Macaca fascicularis: one gene and its partners. The main gene of each other region encodes a partner of the protein of the gene in region 3 in a complex. Links are inferred from orthologs where the notes say so. Each region holds a gene or a part of one and is shown on either strand. Other genes may lie near its edges.

Region 1 (7,421 bases), on a different chromosome or scaffold from region 3:
GGCTCAGGAATGTGCTACTTAAAATTTTGCATTCTGGGGTCGGATGTGGTGGCTGACACCTGTACTCTCGGCACTTTGGGAGGCCAAGGTGGGAGGATTGCTTGAGCCCAGGAGTTTGAGACCAGACTGGGCAACATAGTGAGACCCCCATCTCTATTAAAAAAAATAAAATAAAATTGCACTCTGAGTCCGAGCGGCCAGGATTAGGAACCATGACCCAGATAGGCTGTAGAGGGGACCCCTGTCTTGCTGTCCCCTCTCTTAGTCCCTGCCCAAGCGGATTTCATGTTCCCCAAAATGGGTACTACAAAATCCTCCCTACCCCTACCAGCGATCAAGGGGTAGTCCTAGTCTCAGCATCAGACGTGTAAGTGACTCCCGCTTTAGAAGGGAAAGGAGTTAAAGGGCCCAGAGTCCAGGCAGGTCTTGGATATTGCTTCTGTCTCCCCACCCTCTGGAAAGGAGAAGGACCTTTGTGCTGTCTTCCCGGGTCCCTCCTTAGAGGGCACTGTCAAATGTTTGTCGGCCGGGCGCAGCGGCTTATGCCTGTAATCCCAGCACTTTGGGAGACCAAGGCGGGCGGATCACGAGGTCAGGAGATCGAGACCATCCTGGCTAACATGGTGAAACCCCATCTCTACTAAAAATACAAAAAAATTAGCCGGGCAAGGTGGCAGGCGCCTGTAGTCCCAGCTACTCAGGAGGCTGAGGCAGGAGAATGGCGTGAACCCGAGAGGCAGACCTTGCAGTGAGCCGAGATGGCGCCACTGCGCTCCAGCCTGGGTGACAGAGCGCGACTCCGTCTCAAAAAAAAAAAGAAAAAAGAAAGAAACCTTTGTCATGACTTGCTCTGAACTGTTGAATAGTTATTGCGGAAGTGGTTGCGCAGGTGTTGGGGTTACACAGGGAAGTGATGCAGTCACTGCCTGCTCCTGCTCACAGCCTTGCCAGGGAAAATGGGAACGCACAGAGTACAGCAGGCACCCAAATGCTCTCATCTGTCTCACCCAGCCCTGGAGCCTTTGCCTTTGTTTAAAATAGCTTTTGGTGTGTGTGTATGTGTGTGTGTGTATATATATATATATATATATATTTTTTTTTTTTTTTTTTTAATTAAAGATAGGGTGTTGCCATCTCACCCAGGCTGGAGTGCAGTGGCTGATCTCGGCTCACTGCAACCTCCGCCTCCTGGGTTCAAGTGATTCTTATGCTTCAGCCTCCTGAGTAGCTGAATTATAGACGTGTGCCACCACATGCCTGGCTAATTTTTGTATTTTGGGTAGGGTTGAGGTTTCACCACGTTGGCCAGGCTGGTTTTGAACTCACCTTTTTTTTTTTTTTGAGACAGAGTTTCGCTCTTGTTGCCCAGGCTGGACTGCAGTGGCGTGATCTCGGCTCACTGCAACTTCTGCCTCCCAGGTTCAAGCGATTCTCCTGCCTCAGCCTCCTGAGTAGCTGAGATTACAGGTGCCTGCTACCACACCTGGCTAATTTTAGTAATTTTAGTATAGACAGGGTTTCACCATTTTGGCCAGGCTGGTCTCGATCTCCTGACCTCAGGTGATCCACCCGCCTTGGCCTCCCAAAGTGCTGGGATTACAGGTATGAGCCACCGCGCCTGGCCTGGTTTCGAACTCTTGACCTCAGGTGGAGTGCCCACCTTGACCTCCCAAAGTGCCAGAGTTACAGGCATGAGCTGCTGCGCCTGGCGCTTTTGGTAAAAGTAACCTGGAATTTGGGAGAGAAGATCAAACTCTTCACGGGACATGGGTTATTTAAATTACTTTGGATGTCACCTCTGGAAGGTGTTTATCAACCCATCTTCTGACTTCTACTGCTCTGGAAGCTCGGAGGCCAGAGGCCTTGCCTAGTCCATCTCAGGATGGCTAGTATGTCTAAAATGACAGTCTGATCACGTCTCTTCCTTCAAAACACTGGGGACTCCCAGCCATCTGCTGAGTAAAGTCATCTTCTCACGGAGCATGTGAGACCTGTGATCAGTCCCCTCCCTGGGGGCCCCCTCCCTGGACTGCCCCTCAGTCTCTCCTCCCTGCTGCTGCCTGTGCCCCTCCCCACAGTGAACCCTGACTTGGTGTCTAAGGCTCTGCTCTATTGTCCACCCCTTGTACAAGCCTCCCCCTTGTACCACTTCCCGCATCTCCAGGAAGTGCTTCTGTGGAGCCATGCCTGGCTCATAGTGCAGTACACCATGGCCATGGGTTAGCAACTGACCTGCGTGCTGGGCTGTGTCTGGTGCCCCTCCATACCCTTGCCCTTGCTCAGGTGCCTCTAGCATCTGATGACAGCCTGGGGAGCAGGCTTCTGCAAAATCAGGTGCACAGACAACTCCCACGGGAGCCTCGAGCCTGACAGAGGTACAGTGGGCATCCCCTGAGCATGAGTTGATTCCTGGTGGGCAGGATCAGGCTCCTAGACTGACTGGGGGGACTTTTCTTGTATCTCCCCAGGGAACAGAAGGCCAAGAGGAACAGCCAGTGGGTACCCACCCTGCCCAACAGCTCCCACCACCTGGATGCCGTGCCATGCTCCACGACCATCAACAGGAACCGCATGGGCCGGGACAAGAAGAGAACCTTCCCCCTTTGGTGCGGATGTGTCGCTGTGCTCACCCTCTGCCCTGATTCTCCCTTAGTTCTCCAGCACATTTCAGTCCCCTCCTCCCCAGAAAAACACTGCTTTGACCTTGTGCTCCCCACAATGCTACAGTACCTCCTCCTCTTTGAACCACTGTGTTTCCCTGACCTCCAGGACATTGTCTGTAGCCTCTTTGGCTCTGTCTGCTGTCACCTTGCCGTGTCCTCCTCACCTCTCTGGCCCCTCAAGTGGAGTTACTCGGGGCACGGTCCATGTGCCCTTTCTCTGCCCTCAGTTTCACACGAGTGGGTCATAGCCAGTCTGACGGTTCACGTGCCATCCACGTGACTCCCACTGCGCCACCACTTCCCAGAGGCTGCTGGAATAAACCACCACAAACTGGTGGCTGCCAGCAGTGCACAGTTCTTCCCTCACAGTTCGGGGGCCCAGGAGCCCAGATTTGGTTTCACTGGACCAGATGCATGTGTAGACAGGGCTGTGCTCCCTCCAGAGGCCCTCGGGGCGATTCGGTCCTTGCTGCTTCCGGCTTTGGGGGCTGCCACATTCCTGGGCTTGTGGCTGCCTCACTTCAGTCTCGGCCTCTGTGGTCATGTGGCCTTCTCTGCGTGAAATCTCCCTGTCTGTCTCTTAGAAGGACACTTGGTGATGTAATTTAGGGCCCTTCTGGTTAACCTCTCAGGATCTTTCACTTAATCGCATCTGCAAAGTCTCCTTTTTTGGCCATATGAGGTGACAGTTATAGGTTTTGGGGATTAGGCTGTAGATGTCTTCGGGGTCTGTTTTTTACCTCTGCAGCCCAGACTTCCTCAGCTGCCCTCACCCCCTCAGCCTCATGCTGCCTGAAGACTTCTCCATCTCGGCGCATGGAGATCCAGCCGTCTCCTTGCTCAGGCTGTAGCTTTCTTTCCCAAGGCCTGCCTTTTCCTCACACAGCAAGTCCAGTCTCTCCAAGGTCCCACCCAGGACTGCCTTGGCCAGCCCCGCACTGCTCTCCCTGGGGTCTCTAGCAGCCCCTGCCTCCCCTCCCTGTTGCCTTCTCAGCTCTGCAGCTGGTGTGTCCTCTGCTCCAGGCATATCGTGTCACCTCTCCACGCAAAATCCTCCAGGCTCCCCATCACCCTCGGAGCAGAAGGAGGAGTTCTCACTGGGGTGCCAGGCCCAACCTGGCCTGGTGCTGCCACTGCCACACTCTGCCCCACTCACTCTGCCTCAGACCTGAGATCGCCCTCACTGCTGTCAGACCTCCCAGAGCTTCTGCCCAGCAGTTGCCTCTGCTAAGGTTTAGCCCGTTCTCCTTCCTCCCCTCTTTCCTTTCTTCTTTCTTTCCTTCCTTCTTTCTTTCCTTCCATCATTTCTCCTTCCCTCCTTCCCATCCTTCCCCCTCCTCCTTTTCCTTCTCTCTTCCTTCCCTCCATCTCCTCTTCCCATCCCTAGTTGACTGTCCCCTTCTCCCTTAGAGTGGCCACCCCTTTCCTCCAGCACCCCTACCCCTTTCCCTGTCTGTTTCCCAGCGCATTCATGCCTGGCACTCAGCTCGTTTCTCTCTCTCTTCCATCTGCCTCCCAAGATCGCTGGGGCCCTTCTCAGCCCTCTCCATGCTCCCAGACGCCCTTAGGTGTCCTCTGTCCTCCAGCTCCATCTCACCAACCTGCCTGCCCAACTCTTCCCTCTTTATCTTCCCAAAATACTCAACTCCATTGCTTGGAATCCTCCTGGGACTCCCTCAGGGCAGTGGCCAGTTTGCGTAGCCTGAGAGGAGAACTGTGGGTGCTTCGACACCCGCTAGCTTTGCAGCATCCCTGACCACTGCCCCCCATGGAATCTGTGCTCTGTGGTCTGTTTGTGCGTCCTCAGCAGTTCCTCCATTCACCTGCTTTGGCCTTACTGGAATATATCCTCTTCTAGAAATGCTATTCTGCTTGCCTACAGCCTTCTGTGAAAGTCCTGCCAAATTTCAGGCTTAAATATCCCTTCACAGGACATCTGGGTTTTGTTCCAGCACTGCCCGGGTCGATCCTATTGCAGACAGACTGGTGCTTGTCATTTATGGACCCACCTGTCCCCATTAGACCATGGCCCTGGGACCCCTGCTGCCTCAGCTGTTAGCTGATAAGTGACCATGTTCCCCAGATGGGTTTGCAGAGGCCTGCTGTGCAGAGAGGGAGGCTGAAAATTTGCATGCCTAGGGCCCTGGCACCCTCACTGACTGTTGCTTCCATTTCACTTTCAGCTTTGATGACCACGACCCAGCTGTGATCCACGAGAATGCATCTCAGCCTGAGGTGCTGGTCCCCATCCGGCTGGACATGGAGATCGATGGGCAGAAACTGCGAGACGCCTTCACCTGGAACATGAATGGTACAAGGCAGTCGGGCTTGGCTGGGCCTGGCCCCAGCCCCTGTGTGTTACGTGGGAACAGTCCCCTTTCCTACCAGCTGCCTGTCAGGCAGATTCTGGACCTGACATGCGGGACATCGGGGCATAGTTTTGGAGGGTGTGGGCTCTGGGTTCAGCCCTGGTTCTGTTGCTGTTCACTGTGGGTTGGGCATGTGAACTTTGGACTCCTTTCCCCATACTGAGGTTGGGGGGCCCAAGGGGCCTGGCATGGGAGGTGGCTGGTGTGCATAGCATGGATGATGATGACAATGCCACTTAGACCTAGTTCAGCCCCCGAGCCCTGCACACACCTGCCTTGGGTCCTGTCCACCACCCTGTTTCTGCTGTGTGAGGCTGCATGTGTGCCCTGTGCCTCTCTCCTCCCCTAACTGGTCATCTCTTTAGATATCCTCACTCTGTAAGTCCTGGGTCAGGTGCCATCTCTTCTGGCTCTTCCTGGGCTTCCAAAGCCTGAACAGAACTCAGTCTTTGTGCAGATGTAGACAGAAAGGTTAGAAGGGTATGCATCCCAAGTGTCTAGACTGCTTATCCCATCTGGGAGGGAGGATCATGCATGCATTTATTTTGCTATTTTTTTCTAAGTCTGTTAGAATGTATTTTTGTTATTTTATTTTATTATTACTGTTTTTTTAGATCTTGTTGAATACCAGGTTTTTTTGTTTTTTGTTTTTTAACTTAGTGTCTGTATCCTGCTGAATTTTTATAATGAACATACTCTTTATATTAAGACAAAATGCAGTGAATATCATCTTTATTTTATTTTACCTATTTTATTTTGTTTTTTTTTAAGAGACAGAGTCTCACTCTGTTGCCCAGGCTGGAGTGCAGTGATACTTTCATATCTCGCTGTAATCTTGAACTGCTGGGCTCAAGCATTCCTCCTGCCACAGCCTGCCAAATAGCTAGGAATACAGGCATATTCCACTGTGCCGAGCGTTATTTTTAAATGGGTGAATGTTTAAAATCATCAGAATCTCACCACCCGAATAATATTTTCAGTTTTACCTTTTCTCTCTGTCAATTCCACATGCAAACATATTTAACACAGTTGTCACTATAGAGCAAGTCTTGTTTTATTTTTCTTCACTTGTCCTAAGTATCTTTCTGGTTTCTCTTTTTTTGTGGGGGGAGATGGAGTCTCACTCTGTCGCCCAGGCTGGAGTGCAGTGGCACGATCTCAGCTCACTGCAACCTCTACCTCCTAAGTTCAAGCGATTCTCCTGCCTCAGCCTCCTGAGTAGCTGGAACTACAGGCACCCGCCACCATGCCTGGCTAATTTTTGTATTTTTAGTAGAGATGGCGTTTCACCATGTTAGCCAGGCTGGTCTTGAACTGACCTGAGGTGATCCGCCTGCCATGGCCTCCCACACTGCTGGGATTACAGGCGTCAGCCACTGTACCCAGCCTCTTTCTGATTTCTTTAATCTTCAAACAGTGCAGCATTTTCTACTGGGTCGAGGTACCTTTGTTTGCTAAAACACCCTCTGCTGTAGACGTCTGCACGGCAGATAACATAGTTGCAACATTTTTCTCTCCGAAGGGATTTCCTAAGGGAGGAGAGTATGAGTGGTTGTGGCTGCCTTGAGCTTTCTGGAAGGATTAGGCTGCTTCCTTTGGTCATCCCCAGGCACTCGGCATGCTAGGCCTGAGTGCTAGGACTACCACTTGCTCACACTAGTGCCAGGCCTGAGTCCAAAGGCTTCTGCTTAGCCCTGAGAAGAATGCCTGAGAGCCATCTGCCGGGTGCCTGTCCCCTAGGTCCCACAGGTTAGCTGGTGAGCGGGGACGCCAGGGAGAGGAGACATGGGTGAGGGAGGACACTGGCAAGAGACTCCAGGAGGTTGTATTGAGTGTAGATGGGGACAGGTACAGTTCACTGGTCATGCCCCAGAACAGGGACAGGACAGCCCATGGGCACCAGGCCACCAGCGCTGCACAATGCCTTGGCAGTGTTATCTCTGCCAAGCTGCCTGCTTATCTCTGCTGGCCCGCATCAGAGTTATTTGTTAATTCTTGTCTCTCCCTCTCCATTTCAACCCTTTAAGGTCAGGGGCCTTGTTTTTCATTGCCGTTTTCTTTTGAGATGGAGTTTCGCTCTTATTGCCCAGGCTGGAGTGCAGTGGCACGATCTCAGCTCACCACAACCTCCACCTCCCAGGTTCAAGTGATTCTCCTGCCTCAGCCTCCCGAGTAGCTGGGATTACAGGCATGTGCCACCATGCCTGGCTAATTTTGTATTTTTAGTAGAGATGGGGTTTCACCATGTTGGTCAAAGTGGTCTTGAACTCCTGACCTCAGGTGATCCGCCCGCCTCAGCCTCCCAGAGTGCTGGGATTACAGGTGTGAGCCACTGTGCCCGGCTGCTGTTTCTCTTAACATATCATCTAGCCCAGCATAGGAATTTAGT
Region 2 (7,421 bases), on a different chromosome or scaffold from region 3:
GCTCTTCTAAAGAAAAAACTCCAATCAAAATACCTCATGCAACAAATAGTATACAATGCTAAACTATCTTTAAGAGAATGAAACTTAGAATTCAAATATGCATGGTTCCAAAATACGATCAGAAACATAGTAAACTAATACTCAAATCCAACCCCAAAACATAGAGCGGAGGGCTCAGAAGCTGTTCTAAAGCACCACAAACTAAGTTTCCAAAAGTTAGTCTGAAAAATACTGGCTTAACGTGGTCACAGGAACTTAATTTTTATGGCACGGAAAAAAAATAATGTCCCCAAATAATTAGATGGTGTGTCTGTAATTTGCAGAAACTCTTGTTTTTTCACTTACTGTCAGAATGGTGACATCACAAACATCAAATACTAAATACATTTCTAGAAAACCTGCTAATGTTTCCCATCCCCTTCAATGATGACACAAGTCCCCAAAGTCAAATATTCCATTCACTTATAAGCAGAACAATTCTACAGTGCCTGCAACAGTGAACTCAATGAGGCCACTTAAAAAAAAAAATTCTAAAATTAAAATGTAAATGAGACTCAATGAATTTGATAATTTTATAAAATCCGCTCGAACGCTTTTAGAAAACAGGCTGCAAATGCTATAATTTCCCTTCTCTCTCTAGCCCTACCAAACAAAAAAGCACTTTAAGATATTTTCAAGATACTTATAACTACAATATGAGTCTGCTGTTTCAGAAACACAATCTCAGAGGCAGGTACTTCAAATATATTTGCTGGAGGAAAAAAAACCCCACAACTTTGGACTGTGCGACATACTTTTTCTGGAAGCTGGGATTCAACTTCTTTCTTCAGTCTCCTTAGTAAAAATGGTCTTAACACCTTATGTAGACGTCTGATGATCAATATAGTTTCTTCTTCATTTAAATCCACCTGTAAGAGAGGCTTATATGAATTTGATGTTTTAAAGAAAAGGATGTTTCATACAATAAAGCTTTATGTTACACTTATATGGTTCAATACATGATTAACATTTTACATGCATTAAAGCCAGGTTTAAGCCTATCATATCTACCTCTGAATTATCTTCCCACCTGCCTACCAAGCGGTAACAAAATGACCTCTAAATAGATCTTTGTCTTAATGCTGAGTTCTATGGAAAAGAGTCCAGAAGCCACCAGTTTTTATCAGTAGTGTCAACAGCCCCAAATTGTATGGAATATGACTGTCAATGAAGACGGACTGAAGATTGAGATAGAACGGGAGAAGAGGGGCAATAGTTAATATGTTCCCTATTTAAAGTGGCAGCCTTAAGTTAGGCCCTTCGTCTTGGTTGTCTCAGACACAGAAACATACTAAAGGAACAGGGGCTTGCACATATAAAGAAGAGGAACAAGAGTTGATCTAGTTTATGCTGGTGGACCTCTAAGTCCCTCTAACTTCACCCCTTTCCTTTTCTCAGCCCTATCTAGTTCAAATTTAGCCAAACTTACAAATTTCCCGGCTTTCTCTTTCACCTTCTCCTATTAACCTCTAGGGGGCAGAGTTGATTGACACTACTTTCTACAAATGGGCAAGCCAGTGAGTTAACCACTGAGGAGGGGCCCATGTGCCTCAAAATCAAAGGACGAAATAATTCAAACTGAAATTTTACTAAAGCATTTTTAGTGGCTTTTCATTCCTATGAATGAGGAACCACTATGAAAATGACATGGGCCCAGTTCTTTTCTTGCAACGGCTCATTGTCTTCCTTTCATAAATGAGGTCTTAAGAGAAGACAGTGGAAGGAACAGTAAGAAACTGGAAAATAAATGGCTACTCCAGGAAGACAATTTATGTACACACAAAACTGAAACTCACATTAAAACCTAAAAAGAAAAAAAAAAAAAGTGTGCAGAAAATTAGTGAAAACTAGTTCTGTTTTACACACAAACTCTTCATGTGGAAATATTTCAAAGGGAACTCCAAGTTTATAACAAGGAAAGATTTGTTTAAAGCTTGTATTTAGTTGTTAATTTGGTCTGGTTAAATTAATTCAGCAAAATATCTCCATGTTCATCCTCCCTGTGGCCCACTGGTTCCACCAGTAAGGACCCTTTTCTGGTAGCCTGGTAAACATGCTGGCAAAAGACAAAGGGATTAGATGCCCCGTATACCACTAGATCCATTTTCCTAGGAGGGGAAAATAACCCCACCACGAGACCATGTCCACCCACCAATGGGTTTCATAAAATAAACAACATTGTAAACCACCCTGCGGGTGTTCTGTGGCAGTAATGTTCCCAGCTTTAGGGCCTTTCATTTCATGTCATTGTCATGCAGTAGAAAAAACAAAAGTCAGACCAGTACCCTTTCACCAGTCATGGCAAATGGAGCATTGAACCATTGTTCAAATGTGCTGCAGCTCTTAAAAATTGTGGGGAGGAGGAAGTTGAGGAGGGCCCAGAGTTCAGGGAGCTTATTCTGCAGCGGGGTCCCAGTCAAGAGGATCCTTCTGGGGGCCACATAGTGAGTGTTCAAGACCTGAGTCAGCTTGCAGTGGTGATTCTTCATTCGGTGGCCTTCATCCACTATCATGTATTTCCACCGAATCTATAACATAAGAGGAAGGATGGACATGTAGTAAGCAAGGGAAAATACAACTATTTCCAACAAGCAAGTAGTGGTGCGGAAAACCAAAGAACCCATCCTTGGTATATGATATGCTGTGATTACCTTTGAGACAAGAGAATCTCAACAATGTCTCATGCCTGATAGGCCGCATAAGACATCCTGTAATAATAGAATGTTAAAGCAACAATGTTCCTTACAGACCTCGTAATTCCAAATCAACTTTTTACAAAGAAAGAAAGTTGGGTCCAGAATGACATGGTTGTTCCTACATGTGGATCCTGTATCTCCCCATCCAGTGCCCCTTCTAGTAATACTGTATCATGACAGCTATCCCAGATTTCATTGTCATGCTATTTCGGCTCATGACAGGTGCAGAATATAGGTACCCACCTGAAGCAGAGGTTAATGACTGATTTTTCCAAGATGGCCCTAGCAGGTTCTACAGCGGAGATATTCCTGGCTCCATACCTTCTTTTCTATTAGCCTGGCTGGTTACTACCTTTAGGGCTTGGCTGGGAAGTGTGTTTTGTTTTGTTTGGACTGGTTGCTAACATTTAAAAGTTGGACCATTTCACATTAAATTTGTACATACAGCTCTTCAAAAATTAGGTCTGACCTCAATACACGCACATTCCTTACCTGCCAGATCTAGGACCCCTGTTTTATCTAAAATAAAAGTATATACTCACTGGCAGAAAGGGCAGTGCAAAAATATCATTCCTCTATTTATGCCAAAACTGCAGAATTAAATACAGCATACTTCCCCAACATGACTATTGCGTAAAACGTCCAGAATGCTTAAATGGCCCAGTCCTCCATCCTGTCTACACAGTCCCTTTCCTCTCTCATGCCTTGCCCTTCGGTCCTCTTAAGAGCACTGTTCAGTTTCTTAAAGTGAGAACAATGAGGAATGTTCCACTAAGCCTATCCATTCTCTACAAAACAGTGGCTATGGCCAAGAAAAACATCTGGTGCTCAGATGTCCCCAGATCCTGCTGCAAAGCTCCTAGAGACAGAAGGGAGATGAGGGAAGTATTCTATACAGTCCTTGCCTTCCTCATTAGAAGCATCAGACATGCCGGGGGAAAAGGAATAAAATTATCAGTCAGGCTGGGATGTATAGGTAAACAAACAAACAAACAAAAAACCTACCTCAATTTTTCTTCCTTCCTCCACCACCTCTAAGGAAAGTGCTTAAAGGATAATTAAAACTGTACAATCAACTGCCTCAAACTTACCAATAGCATGAAAAGAGGTAAGCAGACAAAAATATATTTAAATAAATATCCTAAATCTACTTTCTTGCCTAATTTAGCTTATGAAGTAATAAAGAATCAGAGGCCTTTGATTTTGCTATTGGGTCTACTACTAATTAGGTCTTCCACTTGGACAAAATTACTACCCCTTTCTATAGCTCCATTTCTCCAGTAACAAATAAAAGCAATGCATCTCATTACCAGGCATCTCCAATGAATCTTGAAATACATATGCAGATGACACAATATGAATTTTTTTAAAAGGATCTCAAATGTACAAATACATTCCCATAGTAATATTGAAAACACATCATTTTTGACACTGCCAAATTCATCTCTGAGTGTGAGGAGGTGGAACACAACATTGTTGCCAGTGCCATCTCAATTATTAAACCTCCCCTGGGAACACATTTCCTTTTTGTTATTTCCTATGATGCCATGAAGGGAACTCTCAGTTCCCAGAGCAAGAGTTTAATGCAGAGATAGAATAGACCCCAGAAATAGAGGTTCTATTCAATTTTGGACATAACTTAGTTTCAGATTATAGTGCTTTCAAAACATCATGGGGTAAAAAAAAAAATTACTAAAGAGAAAAAAAATGAGTTTTCATTATTTGTTCCATGAGAGAGAGTACTTCCATCTTTCTACATGAATGTACTAGAAGACAAGATGATATAAATGGGGGTAAAAACTTCTACTTTGTGGCTGAGGAACAACTTAGGACACACAAATTAGGAGACACGTAAGTCACAGAAACACCTCTTTCTCAGTTTCAAATAAATAGTCACAGAAACAGCCTTGAGTAATCCAACAATGATAGTCTATTATTTCACCAGGAAAAACCTGAAACAAGACTACCACAAAAGCCAATGCTTGGATAAACGTTCATATGGCGGAGACCATATGCAGAGGTGTCTGGCTCATCTTTGGAGAAACAAAGGCACAAGAGGAATGAAGTTACACTGACAATATCTCAGGGCAACAAAAACAATTATTTCTCTCCCGAGAATGTTCAAAGCTGTTGGAGAGAAAAGAGTTGCAGAAGCAACCAGGTGAATTTTTCTAAGAGATGTAAACTCATCAACTCTGAGAGGACAGTCAAGAGCCATTCCAGGATCAACCATACACACACACACACACACACACACACACACACACACACACACACAAATAGCATGCATGAAATCAAATCCATGACCTAAATACATCAAACTCTGACAAAATTTTTAAAAAATAAAGAAAGGGACAAGCCATCTAAGGATCTAATTATACTATTGATTTGGGCAATACTTCACATTCCAGTGCGATGGTCCATAATTAGAGAGAAAATAATTTTTTAGAAACATACCTTTGCAAGAATGTGCTTGTCTTTTATAATATACTCATAAGTAGTCAAGAGGACATTGAATTTGCCACTCCGTAGCTGGGGGACAAGGGAGCGACGCATGGCAGGAGTACCCTGAATGGAAAGAAAACAGTATATGCATGATCCTATGGACATATATGTGTGTTATTTCTCACTATTCATAGCTTAATGATGCCCAGACATGTGACTGAAGAATGCACAGACACACATTCTCATAGACTGATCTATTATACATGAGGAAGTTTTGGCTAAATTACACGTCTTGACCCTTTTCAGATCTTTTTTAGAAAGGTTTTCCCACCAAAGACAGTGGGAGGGCAAAGAGAAATGACAGTGACTTTGTGGTAGTAGAGAACCCACTGCTCTGCTGAAAGGCTCCAGTTCTTTTGAGAAAGTACAGCAGGCAGCCCGGGCACCCGGGTAACTGCCTGACTTTGCAGGAACAGTCGGCACAGTAGCAGCCCACAGCGAGCCAGTCAGCAGCACGCAGAATGTGTGATATTTGTCATTTGTATTACTCTCATCAGAAACCTTGCAATATGATAATTAACAATTTTCTTCTGGATTTCACTATCTGAAAGTAATTATGGTTTATTACAGTAATCTTCTTGGGATGATTAACTCTCACGGTTTAGTACATGATGTACATGACAAAACTTTACAACCAAATACAGTTCACAGATGTGCATATGGAATGAAGAAAATACGGTCTATTTTTTGCTTTTCCACATTTATATATAAATACAGCATTCCAAACCTTGTAAGAAATTTTCACCACAGAAGGAGCCCATTTGTCAAATTCATATGTCCAGTTAGATAGAGTCCTATGGAACAACAAAAAAAAAATACACAGAAAAAAGACATTTGTATAAAAATCAATGGTTAAAAAGATGTTCTTATTCATTTTCAGGCCTCACCTTGAAAGGGGCTACAGAATATAACATATCTCAACAACATATTTTAAAGGTGTGGAAATAAGAGATAAGTTCAAAATAAACTGTCACAAAACATGACAAGTTTGTGGTTCATAAAAAAAATCTTGTAAGAAAAAAACCAGAGAATATATAGAGAGCAAAAAACTAAACTGTAATATGATATTTAAAAAGAGCAATTGCCAGAATAATTTTAGGAGTCTTCATAAACAGTCATATAAGTTCAGAAAAAAGTTGAGTCAGGAAAAAGAAATTACAAAACCACATGAAAACATAAAATAAATCTGTCAAGAGGGAACGGGGAAGAAATATTGAATGACTTTTTTTTTAAAGTCCTGAAAGTGTCACTGTATATATGATTCAGAACGTGCAAAATATAGATTAAATGCAAAAGATGCCTAAATATTATAGATACAGATAATTCATACAAAAAGGACTGCAAATAGTCTTCATTAGAAAAAATTCAAAGAAAACACAATAATATTAATAGAATCCTTCTTCTTACTGAAGGTCCAAGTTCCTATCAGCATTGAGATCTATAACAAGAGCTCGGTGAATAAAGCTGCAACCTAACACCCACAGGCAGACACACTGAACTCCCAGGGAGGGTGCGTGTGAATCATTATGCCCTCACTCAGTAGTGTCCACTTAGGACCTTCTAAGAAATACCCAGTGGGTGAGGCACTGGGAACATAATGGTGAACAGCAAAGGCCTGTCCTTACTAAGCAGCAAACTCATTGAAACATAACCTCAGTGCACATACTAAGGTTATTTTAATGCAAAATTCATAGTTGTGCTTTTGATTTATATTCCGCTTTAAAAGGAAGATTTAAGAATATATAATCTTTTGGAAATGGAATAAGGAAAAAATCAAAGAAACCTCACACACCCCCACACACACACACAAACTTTCCCCTTTGTGAGCCACTTAAGGAATAATGATGAGCAAGACTCCCTATGCAGTGTTCAGGCTGTATAGACCTGTAATGCTAATGGCTGATAAAATCACTTGGTCCCCTGCTTAAAAGGCCAATCAAACAGGCTAGGATGGGGAGGGGTGGGAAATTAAAACCTAAATCCAGATTACATGCTCTTGGTAATCTGGATTTAGGTGACTACATGCTACAATTCTGTCTTAAGTAAAAAACAAGGATAAGCTACTAATCAACATACAGAACGATGACTGTGGAATAAATGACTTTACTTACGAAAGGGGAACAATGATGAGATAGGGGCCATTGAGTCTTTTGTGCTCCATCAGATAAGTGATGAGTGCAA
Region 3 (7,421 bases):
AAATTCTGTCCCAGAAGAAAGCTCTTAAATAAGTTCCTGCTAGAGAAACAGCTGAGAATTACAAAAGGAACAACAACAAAAAACTGAGTAGCCAAGATAAATTTCACAAAATCATGAATTTTATTCATAGGTGATTTCCTAAGACCTTGCTCTTCTGTAAGCCCAGTTCTACCCACCTCTCCATTGGAAATTGAAAGCAGAAAATTGAAAAGAGAGTTGCTGCTAGAGGTGGATTTCCTGATAGTAGCAAGGAAAGAAACAGTTCAAAAATGGAAACACATTCTCCAAAAGCATAGCCATAGGCCACTGAAAGAGCCAACAACAGATTTTCGCATTTCACACACCCGACAGAAGGTTACAGCACGGCAAAACAGTGGTTGTTTACAATTGAATCTTATCCAGAAAGGGTCTAAAGTATGTTCAACTTTTTTTTACAGAAATGTTTAAGACATTGTAGAAAGATGTCTCTCTGAGACATTAAATAAATTGGAGGTGTGTAATGATATAAATCTTTACTATCCTGCAAACCATCTGGAATTTTAACTTTATTATTGTTTTGGGGTGTCTTTTTAGTTTGGGTTTTTTTGTTGTAAGTTGACTGGTCTCAATATATAGATGATATGTGTACCTTTCTTTGGGAGAAAGGAAGAGAAATAGCAAATCCATTAATATAAATGTGATTCTTTGAAAAATATCAAAGCAAATACTACTATGTTTTTAAAGTGTTTTAATTCATACTTAAAGCTCGAAAGCATAGGCATTTTAGAATTCTTTACCTCTTTAATTTCAAAAAAAATTTGACAGTAGTCTTAACCACCTCAATTATGGGCACAATTCCAACCTTATTTGTAACCCATTTCATGGAATTCTGAAGGTTTGTGTTGGATATGAGTTGGAAATGCTTTCTAATAACTATGTGTGAAGAAGCAGACTTGTGTGTGTCTGTTCCTCTGAATCCGTAAGGTTAGTCTTAGAGGAATTCCCTTTCCCCTTAAAAGAACTTGTACAAACCCTGATACAGGTTTCCCTTTATTGGCTGCTACCCCACCACTTTTGATAGTTTCCATGCCCCCTGGCCATCTTACTCTCTTACCCACTGCTGGCCAAAAACAGTGTCTGTCTACCTGGGCACTAGCATGAGGTGTAGTAAGAATGCATGGAAGGAATGGAAAGAGAGGAAATACTGCTTCCAAGGCGAAATGCTTTCTAATAACTTCATATATGAAGAAATAGAGTTACAGGGATGGAGAGAGACCCTTGTAGGAAGAGGAAACATTTCTTGATCATAGTGGAAAAGGACACAAACATGCTAATCCCTGAGCCCTCAAATGAAAAATAAGGTTATGATTGGGGTCCCAGCCCAGAGTGGAGGAGTATCTCTGGGGTTTTATCATAGCAACAACAGAAGGGGAAGCGAACAAAATGTTACTTTAGTTTTCTTATAGGGATTTGCCAATCCTGTCTTTTGATAATTAGAATAAAGCCAGCACTTCATTTCTCCAGCCTAGCAGGGAGAGTCAGTATTAGAGGAGATCTCCTGAAAATTTGCAAATTGTCTGAAATAGCAATGATTTTTCTTATTCTGGGTCTTTAATCAAATGCAGTCATGTATATTAAGAGGAGACTAAAAAGTTCAGAAATAAATACTTTTAGGTGGGTGTTATCTGGGTGGTCTACCAGAAGCTGTCTGGAATCTCACCTAGACTTTAGACCACAGGAAAAACTGATCACTTTATCTTTCTCTTTCCTTCTTTTTTTATTTTTTCTCTCACCTATTTTTGCTTTACCTTTTTAAAAAATATTTTTCAGTCTTCCCTCCCCCTCCTTTTCTTCTGTCTTTCTTTTCCTGCACATCACATCTTTCCTTTTCCTCTGTCTTTCCCATAAAACCAAACATTTTTAATGGAATGGAACTTCTTGATATAACACCTCAAAAATAACAATCAGGCCCCATATCTGCCACTTCTCTGTTCCGGATAAACTTGTTTGCTTTTACACTGTGATTAGGACTAAGGACACAAAAAGGTGTGACTTTCATTCACACTTCTCCTTCCCCTTTACAAGAAAACCACTAGGTAACAGACAGAACCTTAAGAGAAATAAAATCTCTAGCCTGGCAAAGGAGGTAAAGTGGTTTGTTATTTCACTAATTGTTTTTGAACCTGAGAAGTTGTTTTTGTGGTGATATTGGGAGTACATTCCTGACATAGTGCTAATAGGTTAAGGCCCCTGTAGACAGTGTGAGAATGGTAAGTGTTAAGGGTTCAGATCCTGCTGCAGATAATCAAGTGTTGACTGTATGTGTAATGGTAATTGAGCAGAATGAGAGGGTGCCAGGTAATGTCCTGAATGTGAGACGGTTGATATATAACCATATATTTTCAATGTATGGGTTACTATGTAATATTTTATTTGTTCCTGCAGCCAGGTTGTCAAAGCATTGGCAATAAACTGCTAAGTAAAACATTTAAAAAGTTTGTGCTTAAAGTCATTTTCTTTTGAACATTTCTGAATTTGCAGTGATAGCTATTTTCAGTGGAGAAAATATTTGGACGAGTAGAAGAAAGGCGCATTAGAATTTTTTAAGGGACTCTCTTTTCAGTTTGCCGGTGAACTCCTTACAGCTGAATAATGAATGTATTTAACTCTTTTGTAGGCATCCTCTGGTATTACGATTCCAAAACCCCCAAAGCCACCAGATAAGCCGCTGATGCCCTACATGAGGTACAGCAGAAAGGTAGGCGCTTAGGACCTGGAAAGGAATGAGGACACTGTCTTTGCTGCTTCTTTCTTTGCATCCAATTTTAGATTGGCTTAGCCAGCTTTTCTGTGCATATTCGGAGGAAAGGACCGAAAAAATACAGTTTTTAAGGCAATTAGTTCTGATTTCAGAATTCCAGAACTAAAATCCAACAAGAGGAGCATGATTAAATAAACTGTTAAAATCCTTAAGATAGAATGTTCTGTGGCCATTAAAGTCATGTCTTTTGGAGAATATTTAATGACATGAGGAAAATATTAAGTGAAGGAGGACTACAAAACTACATGAATTAATATCTCATTTTTATAAAAATGATGGCAACCATATGTTAGTTTGAAGGGGGAAAACACAGAAGACAGAAGAAAACACAGAAAACATAGATAACCTTAGAGACAGGTTATCTCTAAGCAGTAAGCTTATGGTAGTTTTTATTTTCTTTTCCTCAAGTTTTCCTTTTTTTTTTTTTTTTTTTGGTGATGAACTTACGTTACTCTTAAAATTAAAAAAATAGCCAATATCTTTATTAAAAGGCAGAGCATTATAACTACTATCTAGAAATTGTAAACCTTTTGATCTTGACTATTACATTGGTTTTTGATAATATGATGTATTGTGTTACGCAAATTAAGCACTTCTAAGTTCACGTGAACTTTTAGTGACATAGACTGTGTTATTGAAGTAATTCATCTTAAGTGTCTGTAGTGATTGGAGATATTCTTGCATATCACATTGAAGTATTTATAAGTGAGTGACATGATGTCTGAGATCTATCTTAAAATAATCCAGTAGGGCAAAGATAACCTGAGGTTGGTCAGTCGTTGATCATTGTTGAAGTAGGCTGATGAGTACATAGAAATTTGATACTGTTGTCTCTGCTTTTTATGTTCAAAAGTTTCCATATTAAAAAGCATTTTTAAAGGTCTATACATTTAGACATCAGTATTAACATTTCATCTGTTTTCTTTTTAAGGTCTGGGACCAAGTAAAGGCTTCCAACCCTGACCTAAAGTTGTGGGAGATTGGCAAGATTATTGGTGGCATGTGGCGAGATCTCACTGATGAAGAAAAACAAGAATATTTAAACGAATACGAAGCAGAAAAGGTAGGATAGGGGCTCACAGTGGGATAGATAATGTGTAAAGTACAAAAACACTGGCTTACTATTTATAAAAGAAACATAAGATTTGGTCAGAAGGCTGATGCTGTACTGAGGCTTTGTCTTCCTGAGTCAAGTCAATTTCTCAAGGCCTCAGATTTCTTGTCCGTAAAAAGGAGATAATTATCCGAACACCCTGTTTACATCATATCTTTTGATATTCAAATGAGATAACATAAGTCTGCATTATAACCTGTAAAATGTTAATTATAAAACCAAAAAACATTTGAATTTCAGATAGAGTACAATGAATCTATGAAGGCCTATCATAATTCCCCCGCGTACCTTGCTTACATAAATGCAAAAAGTCGTGCAGAAGCTGCTTTAGAGGAAGAAAGTCGACAGAGACAGTCTCGCATGGAGAAAGGGGAACCGTACATGAGCATTCAGCCGGCTGAAGATCCAGATGGTAAAAGAAAAAAAGTGGGGTTTTGTTTATGCTTTCTCTGAGAGTTAGGATATGAGTAATCTCTTAGGTGTGTTTTATTTCTTATCCTAAATGGAAAAGAAAGCATAATTTATGTGTCACCTCAGTATTTTGCTTATATTGAGTAAGATTTGTATGTGAATTTCCCACAAGAAAAAGAAATATCCTTTTGAGTGCAGAAAATGGCAAAAATTATTTATTGTTTATCAAAATCTTTGTACTCAAAATGCATGAAAGGTTTTTAAATCACAATCAGGATTTTGCCTCATCTGCTTTTACAAAGCTAAATGCATTCTAGTTATATCCTGTTTTCTTACTGGTTCACTAAATTCGCTGAATTAGAGGCTCTTAAGGGAGAAGCTAATGAGTATGTGGAAACATTATGAAGTTTCCTTTCCATTTAATTCAGAAATCCAATAAGAATGTATAAATATAGCTCATGCTACTACTTTTATGGGTGTACATGAGGGTACACCCATACAAATTTTATACATGCACACGAATAGCAGAGCTTCCTAATTGCCGTTCTGTATGAGTAGTTAGCAGGTGTGCTGATTGTTCTGGTCTTGTGCAGCCAGGCAGGGTCTGAAGCTGCAAGGAGACCCAGAGATAGCCATTTGCAGTGTGAACACACTCAACCACATATTTAATGTGCTATATAAATACTAATAGTTTCTCTGTGTACTGCTATGATGTGCAAAAGGTTAGAAGCTCTAGCTACAAGTGACAAAAACATCAGGAAAATGATTTAAGATCCCATCTTAAAGTTGCAGTAACAAAGAGGAAGGCTATAAGAACTTTAAAGACAGTATCAATGAGGGAGGAAGCAATAATAGCACCTGAAGACAAGAATAAGTTGATAAAAGTGGGGAAAAACAGAAATCATTTTTTAAAATAATGGACTGGAATATTGTCAAATGTTCTCATAAATACAGACAGTGGAATGTAACACTATAGAGAATAGAATATGGAATAGAAACAGTATTGAGTGTTAAACAGAATCAGCAGTGCTAAAGACACACTAGCATCCTCACACTGTAATTACTCAAATGGGATGATTAATGCAAGAGAAACATACAGAAGATGATCCAGGCTACAGATATTGGGAGGATGGGGGTCAGTACAAGAGGAAACAAAGGCTAGCAACGTAAGTAGAAAATAACTAAAGCTTTCATTAACACCATGAACATTCAGAAGGACTGAAGAGATTCACTCAGAAACAGTCTCAAACTTGGGCCTATTATGTTTTTAACTTTAAGGGTGGGTCTTAAAGTTGCTAGTAAGTAAGTTCAGGTAGTAATTAAGATGCCAGTATGAGAATGTCTTTAGCATGCCAGTATGAAAATGATTAGAGGAAGACTTGGGAGGTGGAAATGTATGTCAAATGTACATAAGAGAAAGGTGGCATCTGCATGAAGTACAGCAGCTACTGACTTCTTTAACAGAGGACTATCAAAAGATAGACATGACCAGGCGCCATGGCTCACGCCTGTAATCCCAATACTTTTAACTAAAGCAGGAGGATTGCTTGTGGCCAAGAGTTTGAGACCAGCCTGGGCAACACAGCAAGACTCTATCTCTACAGAATACTTAAAAATTAGCTGGGCATGGTGGCTTGTGCCTGTAGTCCCAGCTGCTCCAACTGAGGCTGAGGTGGGAGGATCAATTGAGCCCAGGAGTTCGAGACTGCAGTGAGCTATGATCATGCCACTGCCCTCCATCCTGGATGACAGAGCAATACCCAGTCTCAAAAAAAAAAAAAAAAGAGGGCATGTGCAATTATCTACACAAGACAATGAAGGCTTTTGTTCAATGAGAGCCTCTTCATGGGATAAATAGCTGTTCAATTAGATCATAATTAGAAAAGCCATTCCCCGAAAAAAGGAAGCAGATGACTTACATGCAAGGAAGAACAAGCCCAAATTCTTAGACCTTATTACCCCATCTGTGGTCAACACTGGGGCCATATAAATGAAAGAAGAAAATAAAAAATAACAAAAACAGATAACTTAGACAGACGTAGCACAGATATACCACATATAACCCTAAAGGTGAAAAACTCTTAAAAAGTAGAAAGATTACAGAGTTTTTAAAAAACTGTATCTTACCTAATAGTTTTAATTTCAGAAGTTTATTTCCTAAAGGAATTACTCAAAAGGAAAGAAAAGTAATTTTTTTAACTTTTTACAAAAACAACAGTTTTTAGCTATAGTATTTATGATAATGAGAATTTTAGGAACTGCTTAAGTGCAAGACAATAAGAGAGGTGCTAAACTGACATAGGAGCACCACAAAGGCCTCTAACAGGGTTCCCTCTAACAGGCTTTCCTCTGTAACAGGCTTCCCTCTGTAACAGGGTTTCCTCTGTAACAGGGTTCCCTCTGTAACGGGGTTTCCTCTGTAACAGGGTGTCCTCTGTAACAGGCTTCCCTCTGTAACGGGCTTCCCTCTGTAACGGGCTTCCCTCTGTGACGGGCTTCCCTCTGTGACGGGCTTCCCTCTGTGACGGGCTTCCCTCTGTGACAGGGTGTCCTCTGTAACAGGCTTCCCTCTGTGACAGGGTGTCCTCTGTAACAGGGTGTCCTCTGTAACAGGCTTCCTTCTGTAACGGGCTTCCCTCTGTAACGGGGTTTCCTCTGTGACGGGCTTCCCTCTGTGACGGGCTTCCCTCTGTGACAGGCTTCCCTCTGTAACAGGGTGTCCTCTGTAACAGGCTTCCCTCTGTAACAGGCTTCCCTCTGTAATGGGGTTTCCTCTGTGACGGGCTTCCCTCTGTGACGGGCTTCCCTCTGTGACGGGCTTCCCTCTGTGACGGGCTTCCCTCTGTGACAGGGTGTCCTCTGTAACAGGCTTCCCTCTGTGACAGGGTGTCCTCTGTAACAGGGTGTCCTCTGTAACAGGCTTCCTTCTGTAACGGGCTTCCCTCTGTAACGGGGTTTCCTCTGTGACGGGCTTCCCTCTGTGACGGGCTTCCCTCTGTGACAGGCTTCCCTCTGTAACAGGGTGTCCTCTGTAACAGGCTTCCCTCTGTAACAGGCTTCCCTCTGTAATGGGGTTTCCTCTGTGACGGGCTTCCC

Evidence for each region. The genes of interacting proteins can lie anywhere in the genome.
Region 1: SMARCE1 (region 3) and SMARCB1 share a complex: the UniProt entries of both Homo sapiens proteins name them as parts of the BAF complex. The link is inferred for Macaca fascicularis from reciprocal best matches to the Homo sapiens genes SMARCE1 and SMARCB1.
Region 2: SMARCE1 (region 3) and SMARCA2 share a complex: the UniProt entries of both Homo sapiens proteins name them as parts of the BAF complex. The link is inferred for Macaca fascicularis from reciprocal best matches to the Homo sapiens genes SMARCE1 and SMARCA2.

The regions. Positions count from the first base shown.
Region 1 is NC_088384.1:28,082,965-28,090,385, forward strand, and holds part of SMARCB1 (SWI/SNF-related matrix-associated actin-dependent regulator of chromatin subfamily B member 1), read left to right. Parts: intron 1-2,468; coding exon 2,469-2,606; intron 2,607-4,846; coding exon 4,847-4,974; intron 4,975-7,421.
Region 2 is NC_088389.1:97,063,927-97,071,347, forward strand, and holds part of SMARCA2 (probable global transcription activator SNF2L2), read right to left. Parts: coding exon 7,352-7,421; intron 6,035-7,351; coding exon 5,968-6,034; intron 5,304-5,967; coding exon 5,193-5,303; intron 2,568-5,192; coding exon 2,325-2,567; intron 909-2,324; coding exon 795-908; intron 1-794. UniProt on the Homo sapiens protein: ATPase involved in transcriptional activation and repression of select genes by chromatin remodeling (alteration of DNA-nucleosome topology).
Region 3 is NC_088390.1:61,718,096-61,725,516, reverse strand, and holds part of SMARCE1 (SWI/SNF-related matrix-associated actin-dependent regulator of chromatin subfamily E member 1), read left to right. Parts: intron 1-2,656; coding exon 2,657-2,737; intron 2,738-3,731; coding exon 3,732-3,863; intron 3,864-4,154; coding exon 4,155-4,326; intron 4,327-7,421. UniProt on the Homo sapiens protein: Involved in transcriptional activation and repression of select genes by chromatin remodeling (alteration of DNA-nucleosome topology).